Saccharomyces cerevisiae S288C: one gene and its partners. The gene in region 1 interacts genetically with each later gene. Each region holds a gene or a part of one and is shown on either strand. Other genes may lie near its edges.

What was found.
Region 2: mutations in PAC10 (region 1) and VPS71 together harm fitness more than expected from each alone (negative genetic interaction), as found in Saccharomyces cerevisiae (5 studies listed by BioGRID, with this or other methods).
Region 3: mutations in PAC10 (region 1) and KIP2 together harm fitness more than expected from each alone (negative genetic interaction), as found in Saccharomyces cerevisiae (5 studies listed by BioGRID, with this or other methods).
Region 4: mutations in PAC10 (region 1) and STE24 together harm fitness more than expected from each alone (negative genetic interaction), as found in Saccharomyces cerevisiae (5 studies listed by BioGRID, with this or other methods).

Annotation. Positions count from the first base shown.
Region 1 is NC_001139.9:636,858-641,970, forward strand, and holds PAC10 (tubulin-binding prefolding complex subunit PAC10), read right to left. Parts: upstream 3,515-5,113; coding exon 2,915-3,514; downstream 1-2,914. Other genes in the region: U4/U6-U5 snRNP complex subunit PRP38, read right to left, coding at 1-18; mitochondrial 54S ribosomal protein mL59 MRPL25, read right to left, coding at 247-720; PEX8 (Pex8p), read right to left, coding at 887-2,656; YGR079W (uncharacterized protein), read left to right, coding at 3,863-4,975. UniProt on the Saccharomyces cerevisiae protein: Binds specifically to cytosolic chaperonin (c-CPN) and transfers target proteins to it. Binds to nascent polypeptide chain and promotes folding in an environment in which there are many competing pathways for nonnative proteins.
Region 2 is NC_001145.3:194,413-199,968, forward strand, and holds VPS71 (Vps71p), read right to left. Parts: upstream 1,344-5,556; coding exon 501-1,343; downstream 1-500. Other genes in the region: carnitine O-acetyltransferase CAT2, read left to right, coding at 1-388; YML040W (gag protein), read left to right, coding at 2,216-3,538. UniProt on the Saccharomyces cerevisiae protein: Participates in the catalytic exchange of histone H2A for the H2A variant HZT1, an euchromatin-specific factor, leading to chromatin remodeling and changes in transcription of targeted genes. Indirectly involved in vacuolar protein sorting.
Region 3 is NC_001148.4:255,895-262,444, forward strand, and holds KIP2 (Kip2p), read right to left. Parts: upstream 3,443-6,550; coding exon 1,322-3,442; downstream 1-1,321. Other genes in the region: pheromone-regulated protein PRM4, read right to left, coding at 19-873; PEP4 (proteinase A), read right to left, coding at 3,820-5,037; serine/threonine/tyrosine protein kinase RAD53, read right to left, coding at 5,833-6,550. UniProt on the Saccharomyces cerevisiae protein: Required for assembly of the mitotic spindle.
Region 4 is NC_001142.9:640,189-646,282, reverse strand, and holds STE24 (zinc metalloprotease), read right to left. Parts: upstream 4,277-6,094; coding exon 2,915-4,276; downstream 1-2,914. Other genes in the region: JHD2 (histone demethylase), read left to right, coding at 1-1,979; ILM1 (Ilm1p), read left to right, coding at 2,182-2,793; TDA4 (Tda4p), read right to left, coding at 4,619-5,458; YJR115W (uncharacterized protein), read right to left, coding at 5,832-6,094. UniProt on the Saccharomyces cerevisiae protein: Proteolytically removes the C-terminal three residues of farnesylated A-factor mating pheromone. Also acts to cleave the N-terminal extension of the pheromone. Does not act on Ras.

The DNA of each region.
Region 1 (5,113 bases):
AAATTCATTGACAGCCATTGTAGTCCTTGTTCTTTACCCACGTTTTGTTTTTGTTCTTGCGTTTTTACTGCCACTGAAAATATAGCGTTGTAATGGCTTTAGATTTTACTTTTTTTTATCATAATTCTTGTTCAGAACGTTCGTTATTGATATCACAAAATTATTTACATGATTAGACATTAAAAACATAAAACAGTACACATAGGGTTTACTATTCTAAACTATAGTTATCTTCTCTCTTATTCTTCAGAACCAGCCTATACTTTGGTTTTTTTTCATTTTTTCTACTCTCTTGGCATACTTCGAACCCTTCTTGGAAGCAATCAACTCATCTACCTTCTTTAAAGCTTCTTCACGTTTTTTTAGCTTTTCGTTTAATTTCAATTCATGCTTATGACCCTTGGGCAAGAGAACACCTTTCATGAGGGTCTTTTTATTGTATTTCTCCTCGAAGAAAAGTTTCTTAGTGTTTTCGATCGGTGGTAAAAACTCTTCTACTCCATAACGCAGTGCCAACTTATATACGTCACTCATTCTTCTAAGTGAATATTTCGGATCATGAAATCGTTGTGTGACCGGATGTTTATTTGGCAGGAAAGGATTGGCATTAATGGCTTTAGTAGATGTAGACACTGGAGAATACTTGATTGAAGGGGGGTATCTTTGGAAAAAGGACTTCAATTTCAAAGGCAAACTATCAAAATACTGTTTGTATGACATGGAGTTTAGTTTAATGCACTAGTTGGTTTTCCTATTCTGTATAAATGGTTCACTTTATTTCGTATTTCACTTGCTCTTCCACTTTCACTTGTATCCCAGTCATTTTTTTTTTTTGTTTGAGAAAAAAGGAATATAAAAAGGCGCTACTATAAAGTACTTAATGATACTATAATTTAGAAGATTGACTTGATAAGACCGTTGTGTACCACCAGTCGATGGCTAGGGAGGATTCTAGACTCGAAACCATTTCCCACAATTGTTGAAGTAGCTTTTTGTTATGTGTATTGATTAGCTGGAGACAGATGTTCAACCAGCCGATCAAATGATGAGGATTGTTGATAAAGGCTATTTGTACAATCAGACATTCAATCAATACATTCTTCTTTTCTGGGTTTTTTACATTAACAATTCTGATATACGTCTCGTGCAAAGAGTCCCTAAGCAAATGCTTGTTATAATTATGTAGTGAGGGAAGTTGTGTGGATAGATGGCCGAATATAAGTAAAATTTGATTTGCGGACAATTTACCTGCAATAAATTGGTCCATCGACATCTTTAAATAGACGAGTATGCGGGATACTTGCCATTGTGCAACCTGTGAGGAATAAGAGGAGTCTATAGACAGTACAGTGATTGTCAATGTGTGTATAGATTCTTTGATTTCAATATCCAAGGTATTGCCCGTCTTCCCGCTAAAAAATACATCGAAATGCAGTAAAGGTTCGATAAACTCAGTAATAAACGGCAAACGAATGCGACACCCATAGTAATTAGTAATTTTGTTTAGAAAATTGATGTAAAACACTAATTTATTTGGATCTTGTTTGGTGTTGTTTCTTTTCATTAGTTCCAAAACTGTAGTGATTTTAGACAAGTCATCCATGACAATGAAATACGTTACTAAATTATCGTAAACATAATCGTAACTGGGAAAACCGACTGTCCCGATTTTTTGAGTCAATACGTGGACGTGGAAAAGGCTTAAACAGATCATAGAATAAAAAGTGTCTTTATGGTTAGGCAGTATTGTCATATTCATGGCGGATAATTCTTTTAACGCGAGGATTATCAGGATAAATACATTTTGGAACTTGAAATCTAGTTGTTGTTCTTTCAACGAAGCCACAGTATCGGACAAGTATCGACATATCCTTTCTAGTTTGCGTACTGAATTTACCAAAGTTGCCTCATTTGACCTCGTGATTGAACTGGTCAAGCAACTGGCCAAATGATTCAAGTTGGTTGATAAGACTGAATCAGTCGAAAAAATTTCCATCGGCTGCACAATGCCGTGTACATACTCTTCCAAAAGGTCCAATAGTTTCTCTGTGACCAAATTCCATGATACGTCAACTCCATGCAAAAGGGCGCTTCGGTTTGACTGATTAAAAAGTAAAGCTAATGCTATCAGAAGGCAATGCTGAATCGATAAATTAGCCCTGACAATGGCAGTATTCCATAGCTGCGCCCATATTGGTGAAAACAGTTGTAATTTCCAGTTTCTGTAATAAAGCGCAGTTTTGTTGCTGGATTCATCAATAAAATAGGCGTTGTTCAATTGTTTGAAGCTCGGGTATGTGACTAGTACACCATCCAAAACCATCAACTGTGAAAGGTTCCACGTGGCTCGGTGAGATTCGAAAACAGCATTCCAAACCAAGTAAAACTTCGAAATTGGGAGCGTGGGCTCAGAAACTTCCAGTTTCCAAAGGAAAACATCTTTGACGATGTGCAAAAGGCGTAGTGGTGGTAATTGGACAATGAACTGCGATCGGAAAAGTGCTCCGACCAAGCGATACAAAGTGTCGGGGGATTTGACTCTTGGGACGTAGTATACCACATTGGCCGCGATTTCGTCTAGCAGGCGTTGATCATACTGGATCCTCGTTTCGGAAGAGAGTGCAGTGATCAGATATTCGACGTCATGATCAAACATAATGTCCTAATGCCCTCTGTAAGTGCGGTTTTGCGCGCATACATGCGTATTCATATTTCCCTTTTGCATTTGTCTTCTTCGGTTTTCCTGGTAGAATTTCCCTTAATGGGAGAGTAGTAACAATGCAAAAAATGAAGAAAATTGAGAAAAAACAAAAAAGAAAAAAAAAAAAAAAAAAAAAAAGAGAGCTATGTAGGTTGATTGTGTTGTTCTATGTAGTGCCCTTTATTTTTCTTTGGATTTAAATTTACAGACACATTATATCTTGAGGTTTTTAGTCCCTTCTTGAGCCTGCTTCAAGTCTTGCCTTCTCTGAACGTCCCAGTTATACAATCGCGCGCAATTGACCTCCATTGTCGTGATATTTTCCCTCAAAAACTCTACGTCCTCGGTGGACACCGTTAAAGACTGTTCGGAATCCGCGAGTTTCTTCTTTAACAACTCTATGGCCTCGTCGATGGGATATTCCAGCATCACGTCTGCGCCAAGCCACAACCCAACTTTCAAATCCGCCCGATCTTCCGGTATATCAACCTGAGCCTTTGTGTAGAGCGTGTCGTTCAATTGGTAGTGCAACAGGATAGGTTCATCGCTCTCATCGCCCTCGTCGCTGTGATTGCGCAGACTTTGGCATATTTTTAATGTGTTTTCCAAGTCCGGGATTCTAGTCTTCAGCTGCTTTATCGTAGCCAATTTAGATTCCTGCATAAATTTGTACTTAGAAAGCCGTTCTTGGAACTTATTGAAGCACAATTCGAAGTCGCTTGGGTCCTTAATTATTTCGTTGACATTTTCGATGAATGGAGCCTGCGGTATGCCTCTGGCATTCTTTTCCGTGGAGTTGAACAGTGTGTCCATAATAACCGTAGTATCTGTTATATATGTGCGTACAGTTTTCTGCAGTAAATGTTGTCTACAATTTATAGCCTCTACAATAGTGTTAAACTAGATTTTTTCACTTTCTTTTCTGACCAGTTCTGCAAAATGATCGAAGAAACGAAACAAATCATGTGTTACCCGTCCTGCACAATCATGAGTGCCTGCGGTTTCCATATTGGAACGGCACCTTCCTTTTTTGGAAGTCACGTTCCTGCAGCGCGTTTCTTTTTTTTTTTTTTTTTTTTTTTTATTTTTCGGTTTTTTTCGCACGTTTCTTTTTGGTGAGCGAGAAAGCTCGTTGCCTCCTAATATAAAGGATGAGATGAGATGAGCAGTGCCGCAAATGAGGGATGTGTTTATTTGTTCATTGTCGTTTTGCGATTATCTTCGTTTTCATGTGTTAACTCATTCATTCATTCATTTACTCGTTCACGCACACGCAGCAGTTATTCCCTCGACGAGCGTTCACTTGTATCATATAGCATAGTTTACGTAGCAATGAATAAAAGCAGCAAGGCATTTCAGGTACCGAATAAGGTCATCACCAAGGAGGATATTACTCCCTTGTCCAGATCGCACACAAAGAAAGCGGACACTCGCGGGACAGCAGATGGTAAAAACACCACAGCCAGTGCAGTCGAGGCCACCCCAATCATCATCACCACTGCTCGTTCGATAGATACTGCCGGTTCACTATCTGAGAACGCCACCGAGGACGATGGCACCCAAAACGGAGATTTACACGATGATGACGATGATGACGACCTCGAAAGTACGCTCGGCTATAGTTCTGAGCCTGATCCTCTCTTCTCCCCATGCCACCAGCCTTCCTTCACCAACAGCACATTTAGTTACAGTGCGGACAATGAACTACCCATGGAGGAAAATCACAACAAGAATAATTTCCACGATAGCAGCGAGAGCAGTATCTTTCTACCACAGATACAGCAATCATTCTTTTTCGGCGACAATAGCAAGAGTGACGCAAATAATACGGACTTCTGGAAGGAAGTAAATGGCACTGCAGAAGAGGCCATTTGCCTGCAGGAGACAAGACAAAGAAAATGCTCCCTCGTGGCTCTGCATCCAGGCGACGCCACCACGAGTTCGAACGACACATTGGGAATAGAGGACTTCATCAAAGATGATATCAACAGTGCTGAAGCCATGGAACCCTCCCCATCTTCATCACCATCTTCCTCCCTTCTTGATAATTTGGACTACAATATCAAGTTATTGTGCTACAGAGACAATGAGGGCAAGTTCACCTTGAAAAAAAGGAAGTTTTTGAAGAATTCCCTGCGCTCATCCTCTGCAATTTCTAAAAAGTGGAAACCCTTGTCTAAAAGAGATAAGCTGTTGAAGAGGGCCATAAGAAGAAAGAGTGGTGTTTGCCAGACGTTATCAGCTGGTTTTGGTATCGGTGAATTCATGTTGTAATAACAGTACTATTAACAGTACAATAAATAGATTCTTTTTATACAGTGTTAGGGTAACTTGTTTTTGTAGGATTTGAAAAATATGTCATTATAAGATCTATATCTTTTACTATTTGGACAAGTTGGCTAATTTGATAGG
Region 2 (5,556 bases), on another chromosome or scaffold:
AAAAGAGCATTCTACGTACCTGAAAAATGCTGCAAATGGTAATGGTGTCGATCGTCATTTCTTCGGTCTAAAGAATATGCTAAAATCTAATGATGACCAAATTCCGCCCCTTTTCAAAGATCCCTTATTTAATTATTCTTCAACTTGGTTGATCTCCACATCTCAACTATCTTCGGAATATTTTGACGGTTATGGTTGGTCTCAAGTAAATGACAACGGGTTTGGACTGGCATACATGTTGAATAACGAGTGGCTGCATATCAATATTGTCAACAAACCAGCCAAGAGTGGAGCCAGTGTTAACAGATTACACTATTATTTATCTCAAGCTGCTGATGAAATTTTTGACGCCTTGGAAAATGAGAATAAACGAAAAGCAAAGTTATGAATTTTTCACCTTTCCTCTTCAATTAATTTGTGAATATTTTTGTTAAGTATCTACACTTACATACGTATAAATAGGGGAGAAAAAAGGGCTTACGAATACATACTGATCATTACTATCTATTTCTGCACCTAGTTTCATTATGCAATTTAAAACAACTTACAGAACAAATCTTATTTCCACAATTAACGCAACTTGAAATACTATCGTAGCCACCGCAAATAGAGCATGTCGTAATTAGGGGTAACACTTTGAAGTATCGTTTATTGTAAACATTGTGGTAAATGACATTCTTATCCATCAAGTTTAGCAGCGCAGAATCTAAAAACGAATGTAAATTTCTTTTTGAACTTAAAACCTTCTTTAACGCCACAATACGATTGGTATTCTTCCTCTTTGGTTTAGGTAGTTTTGTAGATTTATACGATAATTGTATTTCCCGTAAGGTTTCTGGTTTAAGCACCCAACCATGACCATACTTGGAATGCTCTTTTACAAAAGAAGAACCACCCATTAATGCAGAGAGACCATCCGAGGTCTGTGAGATCGGTTTGGTTGTTGATTCAATTCTATCTCGTGGTACGCCTGTGAGATCACTTAATAAAGTCGGTACATTTGGTAAATCCGAGAAATTTTCTGTGTTAAGTTCCATAAACCTCCTGTCCGACTGGAGAATCTCTTGTTGTGTGTACCTTTCTTCAAATGAATGGGAATTCTTACTATTTCGGTCATCCTGTCTGCTTATACTATTGCCATCTCCCTCAGATCTCGAAGTATATAACCTGGCCTCTAAATCTGCCAGTGAGTAGTTTATGCGCTTTACGGGCCTAGAGGTGGATATTGTGCCTTGCTTATTAATCTTCTTTGAAGTATATCGACGTGCTTGAGGATCCAATGACGTGAAATATATGTCAGGATTGTAAGTTTTCTTATCAATCTCTTCAACTAGCGCCTTCATTTCGCTGTTATGAGTAAGCGATCCGTTCTTTTTCTTCGATCTATCAATGATATCGACGTTACTATAGATTGAAAGGGCCGCTTCGACTTTTGTTAATACTCACAAAGATCATCATGTTCATTATAAAAAAAGTAGTTATTAATTATCTATTACCCGGATCAAAGTTATTTCTACAGAACACAAATATTTTATTGATTGCTTCGTTACATAAAGCAACGACTAAATAAATATAAGCTCTCTAGCTATTCCACCGACTTCACTTCCTTAATGAATGGTCGTTTTTGTAATACTCCAAAAAAAATATCAAAAAAAGGGGCGAGCTGGGAATTGAACCCAGGGCCTCTCGCATGCTTTGTCTTCCTGTTTAATCAGGAAGTCGCCCAAAGCGAGAATCATACCACTAGACCACACGCCCTTGTGAACTTGTGAATCTTAGCCACTAAGGAATCACCGAATAGTAAAAGTTTTCTGACAACTACAATATTAAGCCCTTAACAACAATAATGAATATTGAGTGCATAATGTTGAAATGGAACTCTAAAATATCATTTGTTTAGTAGTATTCGTGTTACTAGTTGTTGGAATAGAAATCAACTATCATCTACTAACTAGTATTTACATTACTAGTATATTATCATATACGGTGTTAGAAGATGACGCAAATGATGAGAAATAGTCATCTAAATTAGTGGAAGCTGAAACGCAAGGATTGATAATGTAATAGGATCAATGAATATAAACATATAAAACGGAATGAGGAATAATCGTAATATTAGTATGTAGAAATATAGATTCCATTTTGAGGATTCCTATATCCTCGAGGAGAACTTCTAGTATATTCTGTATACCTAATATTATAGCCTTTATCAACAATGGAATCCCAACAATTATCTCAACATTCACATATTTCTCATGGTAGCGCCTGTGCTTCGGTTACTTCTAAGGAAGTCCACACAAATCAAGATCCGTTAGACGTTTCAGCTTCCAAAACAGAAGAATGTGAGAAGGCTTCCACTAAGGCTAACTCTCAACAGACAACAACACCTGCTTCATCAGCTGTTCCAGAGAACCCCCATCATGCCTCTCCTCAACCTGCTTCAGTACCACCTCCACAGAATGGGCCGTACCCACAGCAGTGCATGATGACCCAAAACCAAGCCAATCCATCTGGTTGGTCATTTTACGGACACCCATCTATGATTCCGTATACACCTTATCAAATGTCGCCTATGTACTTTCCACCTGGGCCACAATCACAGTTTCCGCAGTATCCATCATCAGTTGGAACGCCTCTGAGCACTCCATCACCTGAGTCAGGTAATACATTTACTGATTCATCCTCAGCGGACTCTGATATGACATCCACTAAAAAATATGTCAGACCACCACCAATGTTAACCTCACCTAATGACTTTCCAAATTGGGTTAAAACATACATCAAATTTTTACAAAACTCGAATCTCGGTGGTATTATTCCGACAGTAAACGGAAAACCCGTACGTCAGATCACTGATGATGAACTCACCTTCTTGTATAACACTTTTCAAATATTTGCTCCCTCTCAATTCCTACCTACCTGGGTCAAAGACATCCTATCCGTTGATTATACGGATATCATGAAAATTCTTTCCAAAAGTATTGAAAAAATGCAATCTGATACCCAAGAGGCAAACGACATTGTGACCCTGGCAAATTTGCAATATAATGGCAGTACACCTGCAGATGCATTTGAAACAAAAGTCACAAACATTATCGACAGACTGAACAATAATGGCATTCATATCAATAACAAGGTCGCATGCCAATTAATTATGAGAGGTCTATCTGGCGAATATAAATTTTTACGCTACACACGTCATCGACATCTAAATATGACAGTCGCTGAACTGTTCTTAGATATCCATGCTATTTATGAAGAACAACAGGGATCGAGAAACAGCAAACCTAATTACAGGAGAAATCTGAGTGATGAGAAGAATGATTCTCGCAGCTATACGAATACAACCAAACCCAAAGTTATAGCTCGGAATCCTCAAAAAACAAATAATTCGAAATCGAAAACAGCCAGGGCTCACAATGTATCCACATCTAATAACTCTCCCAGCACGGACAACGATTCCATCAGTAAATCAACTACTGAACCGATTCAATTGAACAATAAGCACGACCTTCACCTTAGGCCAGGAACTTACTGAATCTACGGTAAATCACACTAATCATTCTGATGATGAACTCCCTGGACACCTCCTTCTCGATTCAGGAGCATCACGAACCCTTATAAGATCTGCTCATCACATACACTCAGCATCATCTAATCCTGACATAAACGTAGTTGATGCTCAAAAAAGAAATATACCAATTAACGCTATTGGTGACCTACAATTTCACTTCCAGGACAACACCAAAACATCAATAAAGGTATTGCACACTCCTAACATAGCCTATGACTTACTCAGTTTGAATGAATTGGCTGCAGTAGATATCACAGCATGCTTTACCAAAAACGTCTTAGAACGATCTGACGGCACTGTACTTGCACCTATCGTAAAATATGGAGACTTTTACTGGGTATCTAAAAAGTACTTGCTTCCATCAAATATCTCCGTACCCACCATCAATAATGTCCATACAAGTGAAAGTACACGCAAATATCCTTATCCTTTCATTCATCGAATGCTTGCACATGCCAATGCACAGACAATTCGATACTCACTTAAAAATAACACCATCACGTATTTTAACGAATCAGATGTCGACAGGTCTAGTGCTATTGACTATCAATGTCCTGATTGTTTAATCGGCAAAAGCACCAAACACAGACATATCAAAGGTTCACGACTAAAATACCAAAATTCATACGAACCCTTTCAATACCTACATACTGACATATTTGGTCCAGTTCACAACCTACCAAAAAGTGCACCATCCTATTTCATCTCATTTACTGATGAGACAACAAAATTCCGTTGGGTTTATCCATTACACGACCGTCGCGAGGACTCTATCCTCGATGTTTTTACTACGATACTAGCTTTTATTAAGAACCAGTTTCAGGCCAGTGTCTTGGTTATACAAATGGACCGTGGTTCTGAGTATACTAACAGAACTCTCCATAAATTCCTTGAAAAAAATGGTATAACTCCATGCTATACAACCACAGCGGATTCCCGAGCACATGGAGTCGCTGAACGGCTCAACCGTACCTTATTAGATGACTGCCGTACTCAACTGCAATGTAGTGGTTTACCGAACCATTTATGGTTCTCTGCAATCGAATTTTCTACTATTGTGAGAAATTCACTAGCTTCACCTAAAAGCAAAAAATCTGCAAGACAACATGCTGGCTTGGCAGGACTTGATATCAGTACTTTGTTACCTTTCGGTCAACCTGTTATCGTCAATGATCACAACCCTAACTCCAAAATACATCCTCGTGGCATCCCAGGCTACGCTCTACATCCGTCTCGAAACTCTTATGGATATATCATCTATCTTCCATCCTTAAAGAAGACAGTAGATACAACTAACTATGTTATTCTTCAGGGCAAGGAATCCAGATTAGATCAATTCAATTACGACGCACTCACTTTCGATGAAGACTTAAACCGTTTAACTGCTTCATATCAATCGTTCATTGCGTCAAATGAGATCCAACAATCCGATGATCTTAACATAGAATCTGACCATGACTTCCAATCTGACATCGAACTACATCCTGAGCAACCGAGAAATGTCCTTTCAAAAGCTGTGAGTCCAACCGATTCCACACCTCCGTCAACTCATACTGAAGATTCGAAACGTGTTTCTAAAACCAATATTCGCGCACCCAGAGAAGTTGACCCCAACATATCTGAATCTAATATTCTTCCATCAAAGAAGAGATCTAGCACCCCCCAAATTTCCAATATCGAGAGTACCGGTTCGGGTGGTATGCATAAATTAAATGTTCCTTTACTTGCTCCCATGTCCCAATCTAACACACATGAGTCGTCGCACGCCAGTAAATCTAAAGATTTCAGACACTCAGACTCGTACAGTGAAAATGAGACTAATCATACAAACGTACCAATATCCAGTACGGGTGGTACCAACAACAAAACTGTTCCGCAGATAAGTGACCAAGAGACTGAGAAAAGGATTATACACCGTTCACCTTCAATCGATGCTTCTCCACCGGAAAATAATTCATCGCACAATATTGTTCCTATCAAAA
Region 3 (6,550 bases), on another chromosome or scaffold:
GATAGGAGTGATAACAAATTAAGAATTAGAAGGGATGTCTTTTTTTTCTACCAGCAAGTTGCCACGCGCTTCAGACTTTAGAAGAGGTAGTAGCAATCCCTTCGAATGAGGTTCGATTATATCTCTCACCATTCCACGATTTATCACGGAAATACCATTCAAAAATAAATAAGGCGACTGAATGGATTCCAAGGCAGCACTAGTATCGATATTTAGTTTATTTTGTTTGATATACTTTTCTAATTCATAGCCATGAGAGTGTTTTTCCAAATCAACAGTGGCCAATTCGGGTGAAATCTCAAATTCTCTTTGTAATAGATTTTTTAAGAAAATGGAGTCTGCTTGTGATGATTTAATGAATAATACCGCTGGAGAGGTTCTTATTATATCTAGAAAATCTGTTCTAGGGTCGAATTTTTTGTGATCGCAGTTTTTCTGCAAGGCCAGAGAAGATGACCGTGGATTTAGTGTTGTTGTGGTCGTCGCCGTCACGACATTATCAGTTTGGAACGATCTTGAAGAAAATTTTGATGTAGCTTTGGATGAGGGTTCTGGGATGTCGACTTCAACCTCGCTTTGAATATTTGAAATTTCTTCTTTGACTTTTTGGAAATTTAGTTCATTTTCATTACTTAGAAAACTGTCTGCTGTCTTTAATAAGTTTGGCAACTTGTAAACGAACTTCTTTTCACTTTCTTCCTCACTATTTTTTTTGTTTTCGCTAGGGTCAGCAGAGTTGTAGAATTCCAAGGAGTCATTCCATGTAAGTAGTAAGAAGCTAAATACGCCAAGCAAAACGAGTGTTAGCGATATTATTCTCGTACTTCTCTTGATTGCTGTGTGCTTTTTCAAAACTGATGAATCCGCTATCATCTTTAACTGTTATTTTCCTTTTTTTAATTGCTCTTTACTGTTCTTGGAACAAGAGATTATGAAGTCTATAAAAGAACATATATATAAGTATTTAAGAGATAAGCCTGATTCAAAGACGTTTGCAAGTTTCAGTCACTTGGCCTTAACAATCTTTATATATTAATCCCTTTAGTACCTGCACAATTAAGGCCGAGACAGACTCGAAACAACCCCAAAACTTCTTGATCTTTATTAGCTGATGCCAAATTTTTTGGTACCACACTGAAACGAACTTCGTAAATCCATTATTTGTGTATTTTCTTAACGAGAAGTGCCTAAAAACTGCCTTTTATGCGCTGTCTTCTGAGAATAGATCCCGTTCAAGGCAAGCGCCGGGCAAGCGGAGGCGCAGTCTACAGAACAATCCGCACAAGGAAAAAAGCACCCGAGATCTGGGACCCTCACCTAATCATTTATCGTTATCCACGACAGGGTGCGGTGATTGCTGTGTATTAATGAGTGGTTTCAAAGCCCTATCCCGCAGTCGTTTGGCACTCTGCAGGGCCTCAATCATTTTATCCTTCCTCTCGAGCATCTTCTGTAATTCGATCACTTCAGTGCCGTCACACCCAGTTAGCGACATTGCAGTATGACCACTTTTTTCTAGCGCCATGATCTTGTCTTCAAGTTTTTGAGTGTATTTCCTATATTGCCTTATTTGTGATTCCAAACCTTGGAACTTTGTTTCCAAAAGGGTGCCGACCTCAAAGGGAAGCATTTCTACAATTTCCATAATCTCAGAATCTTGCAAATCAACCACATCTTTATCTAGTAGTTTTTCACAATTCTCTAGTTTATATTTTAATACTCGATTCTCCGCTCTCATTAGAGCCAAATTCGGATCACCATCATTGCCGGTGGCTTTAATGTCTTTATAAGTACTTTCATTGGAAGATTTGGTTAAGGGCTCGCCAATGTTTGAACGGTTCTTCAATTCAGAGATCATCCTACGTTGTTCTTCCAATTGGCGTCTCAGTAGCTCAATGGTGCGATCTTTATCTCCATCGTTATTCCCGTTACTGATGATGGATTTTTTGGATACATGAAGTGCGACGTTTTTCGCTCTTGATGCAAACCTCAGCGTATTCATAGTTTCCGCTGCCGCATCATTTCTGGTGTCGACTGTACATATCGTTGTCACTATGCTGTCACCGCTTAGTGCCGGCTGCAATAATCTAGTCAATTTAGAATCACGATATGGAATGTGGTTGCTTGGGCTAGTGCCGTTATTGGTAGCATTTCCACTACTGCTGCTACTGCCACTTGCAGATGGCGAGGGAATGTTTGAGCCTACTGAGTTCATCTTGTCGGCACTGAGTTTGGATATCACAGTCCCCAAAGCAAGTAAGGATTTGTTGATGAATGAACCTTCCTTTCTCCTCTCTTGTTGCCCCGTAGCCCTTTCCGAACCTGCTAGGTCACACAACGACAATGTACTCGATCTTGAGGTGCCGTTCTTTACGTTAGTACTTGTTAAACGAATCAGTACAATGGCATGAGATCGTGAGCTTCTTGCATTGTAGTCAGTTTCGCCAATTTTCCTACTTTTGTCACCAACTGCAATCCACCTCAATAATTCTTCACTACTTTCACATCTTCTTTCGGTGAGACCGATAACTTTGACCCCATACTGAGAGTCATCTCTGATTTTTAATTCTACGCCCAATCCATTGCTGTTGCTCTTGCTCATATATAACCTTGAAGGAGTACTGATTCTACTACCGGATTCTTCTAATCCGCTTTCTAACAGGTCGTAAATCCTTTCATTGTAAATTTCGAGGTACGATATTATAACGTCGAACTTTTTATCGCCATTCATTGATTGTTCCATGATATTGGTAAATAAATACGACACAGATAAAGGAATTAGGCCTAGCTCTTGTTCATTTCCGCTCATTGTAAACGTTTTACCTGACCCGGTCATACCGTACGCAAATATGGTGGCATTAAACCCCATCAATAACTTATCAATCATTGGTTTACTGGTTCTTTCATAAACTTCCAAATTAGTGCAATGGGAAGCAAAAACATGATCGAACTTGAACTCTCCAATTTCTTCATGCACTATTGTTTTGTCATTAGTAATAAACCAGGGGTCTCTAACAAATGTATTGCTACCGTGATGTGAGTTGGATCTTGGTTGAGAGTACCTGGGCGATTTTAGCCCCACATGGTCACGGGAAGTTCCAACGCTCCGTGGTTTCGGCCGGATGGTCACAGTGATTGACCCAGTATATGTATCGTTTTTTCTCGAGTTGTTGTTAATACTGTCGCTCCGCCTGATCCTTATCCTACCTGGGTGAAGGAAGGGATCGGATTTGGCTGATACGGATCTTAGTGGGGAGTTACTTCTAGTGGAAGATGCAGAAATCGACTGAGAACCCGAATTAGAGGTGCTCCGTATGGAGTTTCTTGTCAGATTAGAAAACGATGAAGTTGATCGTACAGAGGGCGATTGTGGGATATTACTTGAACCAGAACTAGACCTCGTTGATGGCCTCCTTAAGCTTGGGCTCATTTTTTGAATCATCAATGGTGGTATTATGGTAAGAATTTTATCAAGTGTTCTATGTTTGCCTTGATTTCAAATGTTTCTAGAGCGCAGCCTGTGAATCTCTGCAGCCTATTTCTTTTTATTTTTCGCTTCTGCTTACATTGCTTTATTATCAATTGTTCCGCTATTGGAAAAGGATAAACAAGGAAATTCTCGAGCCGCATCATCGGGCTACCCGCATATAATGACATTATGGGCAGCAGCATAGAACAATGGATTCTAAAACTGAGGACAAGATGGTTTGTCTTGTTTTTTTTTTTTAAATATACTATAGTTTTTTTTATTGTTATCTACTTATAAAAGCTCTCTAGATGGCAGAAAAGGATAGGGCGGAGAAGTAAGAAAAGTTTAGCTCAAATTGCTTTGGCCAAACCAACCGCATTGTTGCCCAAATCGTAAATAGAATAGTATTTACGCAAGAAGGCATCACCAACGATGGCCAGTGGGCCAACAGGTTCTGGGAAATCCATTGGTGTAATTGCAGAGATACAGGAGCCTGAAACTTCAAGCGTGTAATCGTATGGCCCAATAGTGAAGTTGTAGCCATTGAAGTTGAAAATTAGATCAGGTAGATTGTCTCTGGTGTTACAGTCTAGAGTATATTGACCGGTCCAACCCTTCTTGGCCCCAATTTCAGCATTAATCATTTCAGCTAATCCTGATGGCAAGGTAATCAAAGAAGTACCAGTATCGATGGCGGCACCATGGCTCTCCAATTCGGCGTACTCGTCGCCTAAACCGATACCTTCAAACTTGACTTCCCAGTAAGCCTTACGACGAACAGGTAACCAAGTGATATCGCCCTTGAACTTAGACTCGTCAATACCACCAAAGGTGGCTTCACCGCCATTTTCAGTATCCTTTGAAGTGTCTCCCAAATAAAAGGCAAATCTCTTTTCGTCCAACAAATCTTGTTGAATGGCGTTGTAAAATGGAGGGACCACCTTATCAACAGAAATGGTATCGTAACCCAAACCCAAAATACCATCGAACTTGCCAAATGCAAATGTTAAGCCCGGCTCGCTGGTAGCCTCAGCGAAGTCTTGTTTTGGAATGGTCAAATCCCCGATGGACAAAGTGTCTTGAGAAATGTAACCTTCCAAAGAACCAGTACCATATTGAATGGCAAATTCAGTACCATTAGCTTTGTAGCTTGATGAAGCTTCATGATCGTATTTAGAATGTAGGAAACAAGCCAAGGAACCACATTCGTTACTTGGAACCCAAAGGTTTGAAGAACCAGTATCCAAAATAACCTTGAAGTTTTGAGGTGGAGTACCCAAAGTAATGTCAGTGTAATATTGTGCGTTCAAGTAATTTGTCAATGGAACATCGTGACCACCTTCAGTGAAGAAAGGATGCTCCCTAGAAAAAACAACTTCGGGGTTAGCTTTCTCAAATTGAGTCAAGTACTTTTGGCCTAAATGAGCTAAATGTTGCTCGAAAGTGACTTCTTTCATCTCATCGGACAACTCGTGTTTATAAATTTTAGCCTTGTGGACTTTTGCAGCAACTTGGTTGGCGCTGACCAACAACAAGGCCAATGGCAATAATGCTTTCAAGCTGAACATGTTAGTTTTGGTTTTTGTTTGAATTTTATTTGGATTAAATACTAGGTCACTAGGCTTTTTTTTTTTCTTTTCTTATAGAATTCTAATAGAAAAAACTTTTTATGAATACAGTAGGGTGAGATATACTTTTTGTTATTCTTCCCTTACGTGGTAGGCTTCTCAAATAAAAATAGAAAAGACCACTAAAATTTGATTATAAAGGCTTCGCTCAAAAAAGAAGAAGGTGGAATGAATAAATAGCAGCGAATTACCCAAACTTCTTTACTCTGTTCCCTTAACCAGTTGATAAGAGGTTACGAAGTACGGAAGTATGGCTTTTTATATAAATCCTAAAAAGGGCCGCCTCCGCCCCTTAATCCATCGACACCCGCAAATGAAATATAGTACCCGGAAGGCATAAGACGGGTTACAGCCTCTCCATAGATTCAATAACCGCTTTTGGTTATAGAAATAATCAGACCTCAGCAAATACAATTGAGGAGCTCAAGATATTGAAAACGGATTAACAAACTTTTTAAAATTATTTATGAGCTTGTTGTACCACATCAAGCAGGATTATGTTTTTTTCAGAACTTCTTTTTCTGATTCAAAAATTCATTAAGCATAACTAAAACTGAAAATCAAAACTTATTAATATACAAAAATCTATATATTTCAAAATGTAAATCGTATCAAAACGTCACTCTATATGTAATAAAAACCCAAAAAGTTATGAATAGATGAATTCTGAGTATTGGTATCTACCATCTTCTCTCTTAAAAAGGGGCAGCATTTTCTATGGGTATTTGTCCTTGGTTACGAAAATTGCAAATTCTCGGGGCCTTTTGAGGTTTGGTCCAATTTTGCCCTTTTAACCTTCTTACTAGGATCAATTTGTGATTGCGATAAACTTACCGAATGTATTCTCTTCAAAATGTTCCCCGTATTCGCATTAATCGGTGACTCTACCAAGTCGTTTAGTACCGAATTATTGCCGTTATTATTTGTATCGCTAACTGGCGGCTTCTTAGCCGACATTGATGAAGAAGAAGCCGAGGGTTGATTTGCACGTTGAGCTGCCATCATCTGGGTTAACTTTTTCACCAAATCTTTTTCTTCGGCTGTTTGCTTAAGTACTACTCTTTGTTCTTGTAACATACCTAATCCCTCGTTAAACAGACCTGTAGTATCGTTAATTTCCACTTTAAAGCCAATGACAAATTTATTGTTTTTATCCCAAATGATCTTGATTTCATCTCCGTCTTGTAAAAGGAATTTCGTACCCTGTATCATGCGGTTATTATTTAAATAGCTCACGTTAGTTCCGGTGTGGCAATACCAAATATCATCTAAACCTTGTGCCGGAGATTCATACATGCTTTTGCCTACAGCATGCCTCTTTTTGAAAATGAAGCAATGAACTCGAGACAACCTATTGTCTTCAATTTTACAATTGCAATCCTCGGATCTACCAATGAAAAATGGATTCACACCTTGCTGAATCTCCAGGCTTTCTTGAATAATGCTGTCAGGC
Region 4 (6,094 bases), on another chromosome or scaffold:
AAAATAGGTGTAGGCTATTTTTTATGAAACAGTTAAATAATTTTAAAAGATCCGTTAAGGATCCATCGAAACTTATACTTAGGGAACCTTATACGATTGTAGAATATTCAGATTCTACTCATGCATCGGAAATACTAAAAAAAAAAGTGTACTTTTATGACGTTTTCTCTGAACTAATAAAAGACAATCGGACACTTACTGACACTACACAGTCATTCAGGCGAAAATTGAAATTTAGAGATATTTCCCAATTAAGAGGCGACATCAGTCTATGGAGGACCATTTCTAAAAAATTCAACGTACCAATCGGCTTGTTAAAGGAAATTTTTGAGAAATATATTGCCTCATACTACATATTTCTTCATTCACTGAACGAGAACGTGCACACGGCGCTGCATGCTGACCAGTATCCAAAATCCTTATTAAGTGATGACGAGGACGATTTCGATCTTGGGCCAGATTCGAATTCTGGGTCGGATTTTGAGGAGGACGATGATGATGCTTGTATTGTTTGTCGCAAGACAAATGATCCAAAAAGAACAATTTTATGTGATTCATGTGACAAACCATTCCATATATATTGTTTATCACCACCTTTGGAACGTGTTCCCTCTGGCGATTGGATTTGTAACACTTGTATCGTCGGAAACGGATATTACGGATTCACTCAGGACACGCATGACTATTCTCTACCAGAGTTTCAAGAATATTGTAAACGTCAAAATTCAAGGTTATTACCAGCACGAAAACTGTCTATAGATGAGTTGGAAGAGATGTTTTGGAGCTTAGTGACCAAGAATCGTCGCAGTTCATTAACGACAGTTAAATACGGTGCTGACATACATAACGAATTGCCAGGTCAAATTACCGGCTTTCCGACGAGAGAATTTATACCCAAAAATATAAATGGGGACGAATTGATAGACTACCTCAAATATTGCGATCATCCTATGAATTTAACTAACTTGCCTATGGCTCATAATTCGCTATTACCGTTATTTAAAAGAAATATTTCTGGCATGACTATTCCTTGGATTTACATAGGCTCCTTATTTTCCACATTTTGTTGGCATATGGAAGATCAGTATACCCTAAGTGCTAACTATCAACATGAAGGTGACCCTAAGGTCTGGTACAGCATTCCCGAATCGGGATGTACGAAATTCAACGATCTATTAAATGATATGTCACCAGACTTATTTATCAAACAACCAGACCTACTGCATCAGCTAGTGACTTTAATATCTCCGTACGATCCAAATTTCAAGAAATCAGGTATTCCTGTGTACAAAGCTGTGCAAAAGCCCAACGAATATATTATCACGTTTCCTAAATGTTACCATGCTGGTTTTAATACAGGTTATAATTTTAATGAAGCTGTCAATTTTACTATAGATTTCTGGCTACCATATGGATTTGGTGCGATTACGGATTATAAATTAACTCAGAAAGCATGTGTTTTTGATATGTTTGATTTAATGATCAATGTTTTGGACAAGTACAATAAAGATACTCTATTGTTCAATGATGCTTTTGTTAGGCAATGTTACTCTTCATTGATCGTCTTTTATAATACTGAATTAAAACGCATACGGAAAATTCAGGCCATTGTACCACGGACAACTCTTTTGGAGGTGCATACTGATCCAAACGATGAAGATGAGGAATACGATATATTTTGTTCCCAATGTAAGACTATATGTTCAATAGCCTTTGTATTGCGAAAGAATAACTATGATTCAATTAGAACGTATAAAAGACACAAGAAAAACCATTTAAGTATTAGGCAGTGGAATGAACTATCCACGACGGACAGTAAAGTGAGTATCCTGTGTACGCAGGATTACTTAAAATCAATACAAAACTTGAACAATAGCGACGGTGAAGAACCTTATATTGACGATGAATTGTATTTCACTAAGTCTTTGAAGGATATTGACTCTTTAATAAAGCAAGTTGGTGTTAAGTTAGATAGATAGTCTTCAATATTTGTGTATGGCGTAATGATTTTTTAGAATAATACTTGGCATTTAGCACGCCACTTTTAGCGCGAAAACACCAAAAAAGTAAAGAAAATAATGTCGATCAATCTTTAAAGAGAGACAATTGAATGGTAGTGTAACAATTTACAACATAATAGAGTATCGCATTCAGCAAAAGTAAAGAATAAATTCTAAGAAAATGGCTCAAGCCTTGAACTCCACCAATATTGCTTTTTTCAGAGTAGCATTTTTATTCACGATCGCCTTCTTTTGTTTAAAGAACGTTAATTCTATTTTGCAAAATACATATTTCATAGTCTTAACGCAAGCGATGAATTTACCGCAGTTAACACTGTCACGTTATAGTGGTCAATTGGGTCTTTTCGCTCTTCTGTTTACTCTTAACGGTGTTCATGATCTAATTCCCCTGTTAGAAAACAATGTTAAATACTTCCAATCTGTTGTGCCAGTTAGATTACTAATTTTTTTTATTTTGACAAGTATCTCGTACCTTTGGGAGTCAAACTTTTACGTTCACAATAACTCTGTTTTTATTTACTGTTTTGCAGAAGTTTGGATAAATTTTCTTTTGTATAATGCCATTAGGGAGGAGAAAAATGAAGAGTTCAAAAGATTGAACCAATTCATGGTTAATGATGAGGATATTGAAGAACCCCAACCATTTACCGTGAAGACTGAAACCACAGAAATCATTGAAATAATCAATGATGAAGAAAATGACGATGAAGATGGGAAAGATAATGATGATAACAATGAGAAAGGTAATGATGATAGCGATGCAAAAAAATAAAATGTTTAATCGTTTATTTTTTCTTTCCTTTATTCTTATAGTAGATACCTGTGTATGTATGTAGATATAGACATAACGAAGCTGAATTTAACGGTACATGCTAATATGTGTACTCTATAGATTAGTTTTTCTTCTTTTCACTAACATAGTCTAGAGCGGTCAATCTTTCAGCTAGAGTTGGATGGGAATAATGATAGCTAGAATACAGAGGATCTACATTCATGGTGGAAAGGTTTTTGATTTGTAGATCAATTAGAGCCCTACATAGATTTTGCTTGTAGCCCAATTTTTTAGCATAAGCATCAGCTTGATATTCATGAGTTCTGGAAATTAAACTCATCACGAATTGCATGGCACATTCGAGTGGAGTTAATAAGTCGTTAAATAACATAAATCCAATGATAATGGGGAATTCCTTAGTGATAACGGGATCAACAAAACTGCCAGTGGACTTCTCTAAGAAAAAGCCGAAGGTGTTGTAAAATGATGTATTTCTGTAGATGCTGGTGAAAAGGGAGAAAATGAGGAAGGTGTGCAATTGACTAAAGATGACCATATTAACGATGTGGTTTTTTTGCCAGTGACCGATTTCATGGGCCAAAACAGCCGTAATTTCATCAGTAGAATTACTGTTCACTAAAGTGTCGAACAAAACAATTCTCTTGGAGGTGAATGGCAAACCTGTGAAATATGCGTTTGAATGAGAAGATCTTTTTGAGCCGTCAATGACAAAAATCTTATCTAGAGGGAACCCAACTCTATCGGCCAAACTTTCAATAGATTTTTTCAGTTCACCGTCCTCCAATGGAGTGAACTTATTAAACATGGGCATGATGAAGACTGGAATGATTGTCATGGCTAAGATTTGGACAACGAACAAGAAGACCATAATGTACCAAAGGAAATCAGTAGGGAATTTATCAAAGATCTTAAGGAACAGGTAAAGGATTGGGCCACCAATAGCATACGCCAAAGTCAGACTCTTGATCATATCGGTGATCCATAGTTGGACGGTCAATTTATTGAAACCAAATTTTTCTTCCAGGACAAAATGGCTATAGTAAGAGAGTGGCAAATCAACCAAGGTAGACAAACTGGATAAGAGACCCAAGAAGCATAAACTCTGTGCGACAGTGGAGACCATATGAAATCTGACTGGCAGGACTGCATTCAATAAAGAAACGGCCATGTGCCAGATTTTAGGGAAGAGGTCGTATTTGATGAAAACTAGCTTTTGGGCTAGGTTATAGACGTCACCGAAAATGGAGAACTTGGCCTTGGCCCGGGAGTAGTTCCTTGATTTATGAAAAGTTTCATCATCAATTTCGTCTTCCAGCACAGGTGGCAACTTTGTTTCAGATAGCTTCTGGTACTGTCTGTACGTCAAGTAAGATTCGAAAGAAAATTGGGCAATCGAGAACCCAGAAATGATTAATTTCCACGGGATATTAGGATGGTCGAGAATCGTCTTAAGATCAAACATGAATAAAGGCCTGCAGTTTTCTATTTCCTCCTTTTTTTTCCTTCCTTTTCCTGTTAATTATAGAAGTGGTTTATAATTCGCGAACTTTTTCTCTTGTTCGTTGTCTTTTTTTTTTTATTTCCCGTCGATTTTTTTCTGGAGAAAATGGCAGAACAGAGACGAAGGAATTAGAGTTTTTGAGTAAATGACGTAGAAAAAGAGGGAAAAGTTTAATTGCCTCTTTTTGGTTAATAGGAATGAATATACAAGTTTACATATATGTATATTTGTATGTATGTATGTAGATGTATGTGTGTGTGTGTGTAAGGCGTTTCGTTGTTGAAGATAGAAAAAAAGGTAGGTTTAGTCTAGCTTCGACGTTGGGGCTGGTTTTGCAAGTTTCTTGGCGATTCTAATCATCTTCTTGAACCAAAGCACGTTCAAAAGGTTCATGAAAATGTTCAGCGACATCATCGTGACAGCAGAAAACTTGGGTAACTCGTCTCTTACCTTCCACATCTGCCTGAATAAGAGAGCGGATGCGATGGAGCCCCAGCAAATCCTGACGACGAAAAACACAGTCATGAGCAAAAGGCCATTGACGACATTAAACCACAGAGGGATAGAGTTCTTGCTCTTGGCGTTACATTGCATGATGAACCAATTGATGTTCACAAAGGGAGTGGAGGCCTCGTAGATAAGGAACCTGCCGATCCAGGGTTGGCAGAACGGTCTTAAGGACAACAGCATCACATATACGGAGCCAATGGCGTGGCCCGTGAACTCGAGACCATAAAGCTTGAAGTAACGCACGCACATAGTCAAGTCCCAGATAAAGTACCCTGCGCTGAGGGAAGATACCATTGAACTGTACGAATCTGTGTAGGTGACAACATTATAATGCATTGGCGTCGTGAGGGTGGGCAACAGGACGGTGTTCGAGACGACAGCCTGGATCATCGAGACGGTGTGGACATTGAAATCAATTTTCAGCAGTGGGTCACGGATCGTGGTGTAGTGCTTGCGAAAGACCACTTTATTCAAGAACGGTGCGACAACGGAGAATGCGAGCTGGTAGAAGACGAAGCTGAAGATGATCTCATGCAAATGAGCCAGTATTAAATTAGACGAATGAGGGAAGAAGGACAGCTTTTCGAAGGGGCTGGTGAGGCCGATTGCTGTCGTGGTAGAGTTGGCGTTCATTGCGGCAAGAGCGATAGCTTAAAAATATTGTTTTTTTTTTCTCTTTTATTAAACTATGTTTTATACTGTTATGTTGCGTTGAGTTATGTCAAAATATTATGTTGCCTTGTATGTTTTTGGACCCGACAAAAACACAGGCTGAAAAGAAACACGTATGTATGTATATGTATATAAACATATGTGTGCATATATAAGTGCACGTATAGAAATAATATGCGATAAAAGTCTATTGTTCCTGGCTCATAAAACCTAGGAACTGAACGAGTTTTTTTCTTTGGTGATTCTGGCGTGATTCAACATTCGTATGCGATGACGGGCAGATCCGCGTCGTAAAAATGTTCTTAAGAAAGGAAAAGGGGAAAATGCATGCTAATCACATAATGCTAATGGGCCGGATGTTATTAGTGAGAGGAGAAGAGTCGCTGGATGCTGGGGAAGCGGAATGAGCTTCTGCAGTAGAAGAACCATCGGCAGCGTCACACAGTACTACCTCGCTGTCGATTTCGTCTATTTCGTCGAGGATCCTGTCCAGCATATTGGCGTGGCCCACCATTTTTCGTAGATCAAGTTCTCTGTGGTGGTGTCGAGTAAGGGCGCACTGAGACAGCTTGGAACGTATCTTGCTTATGTATAAGT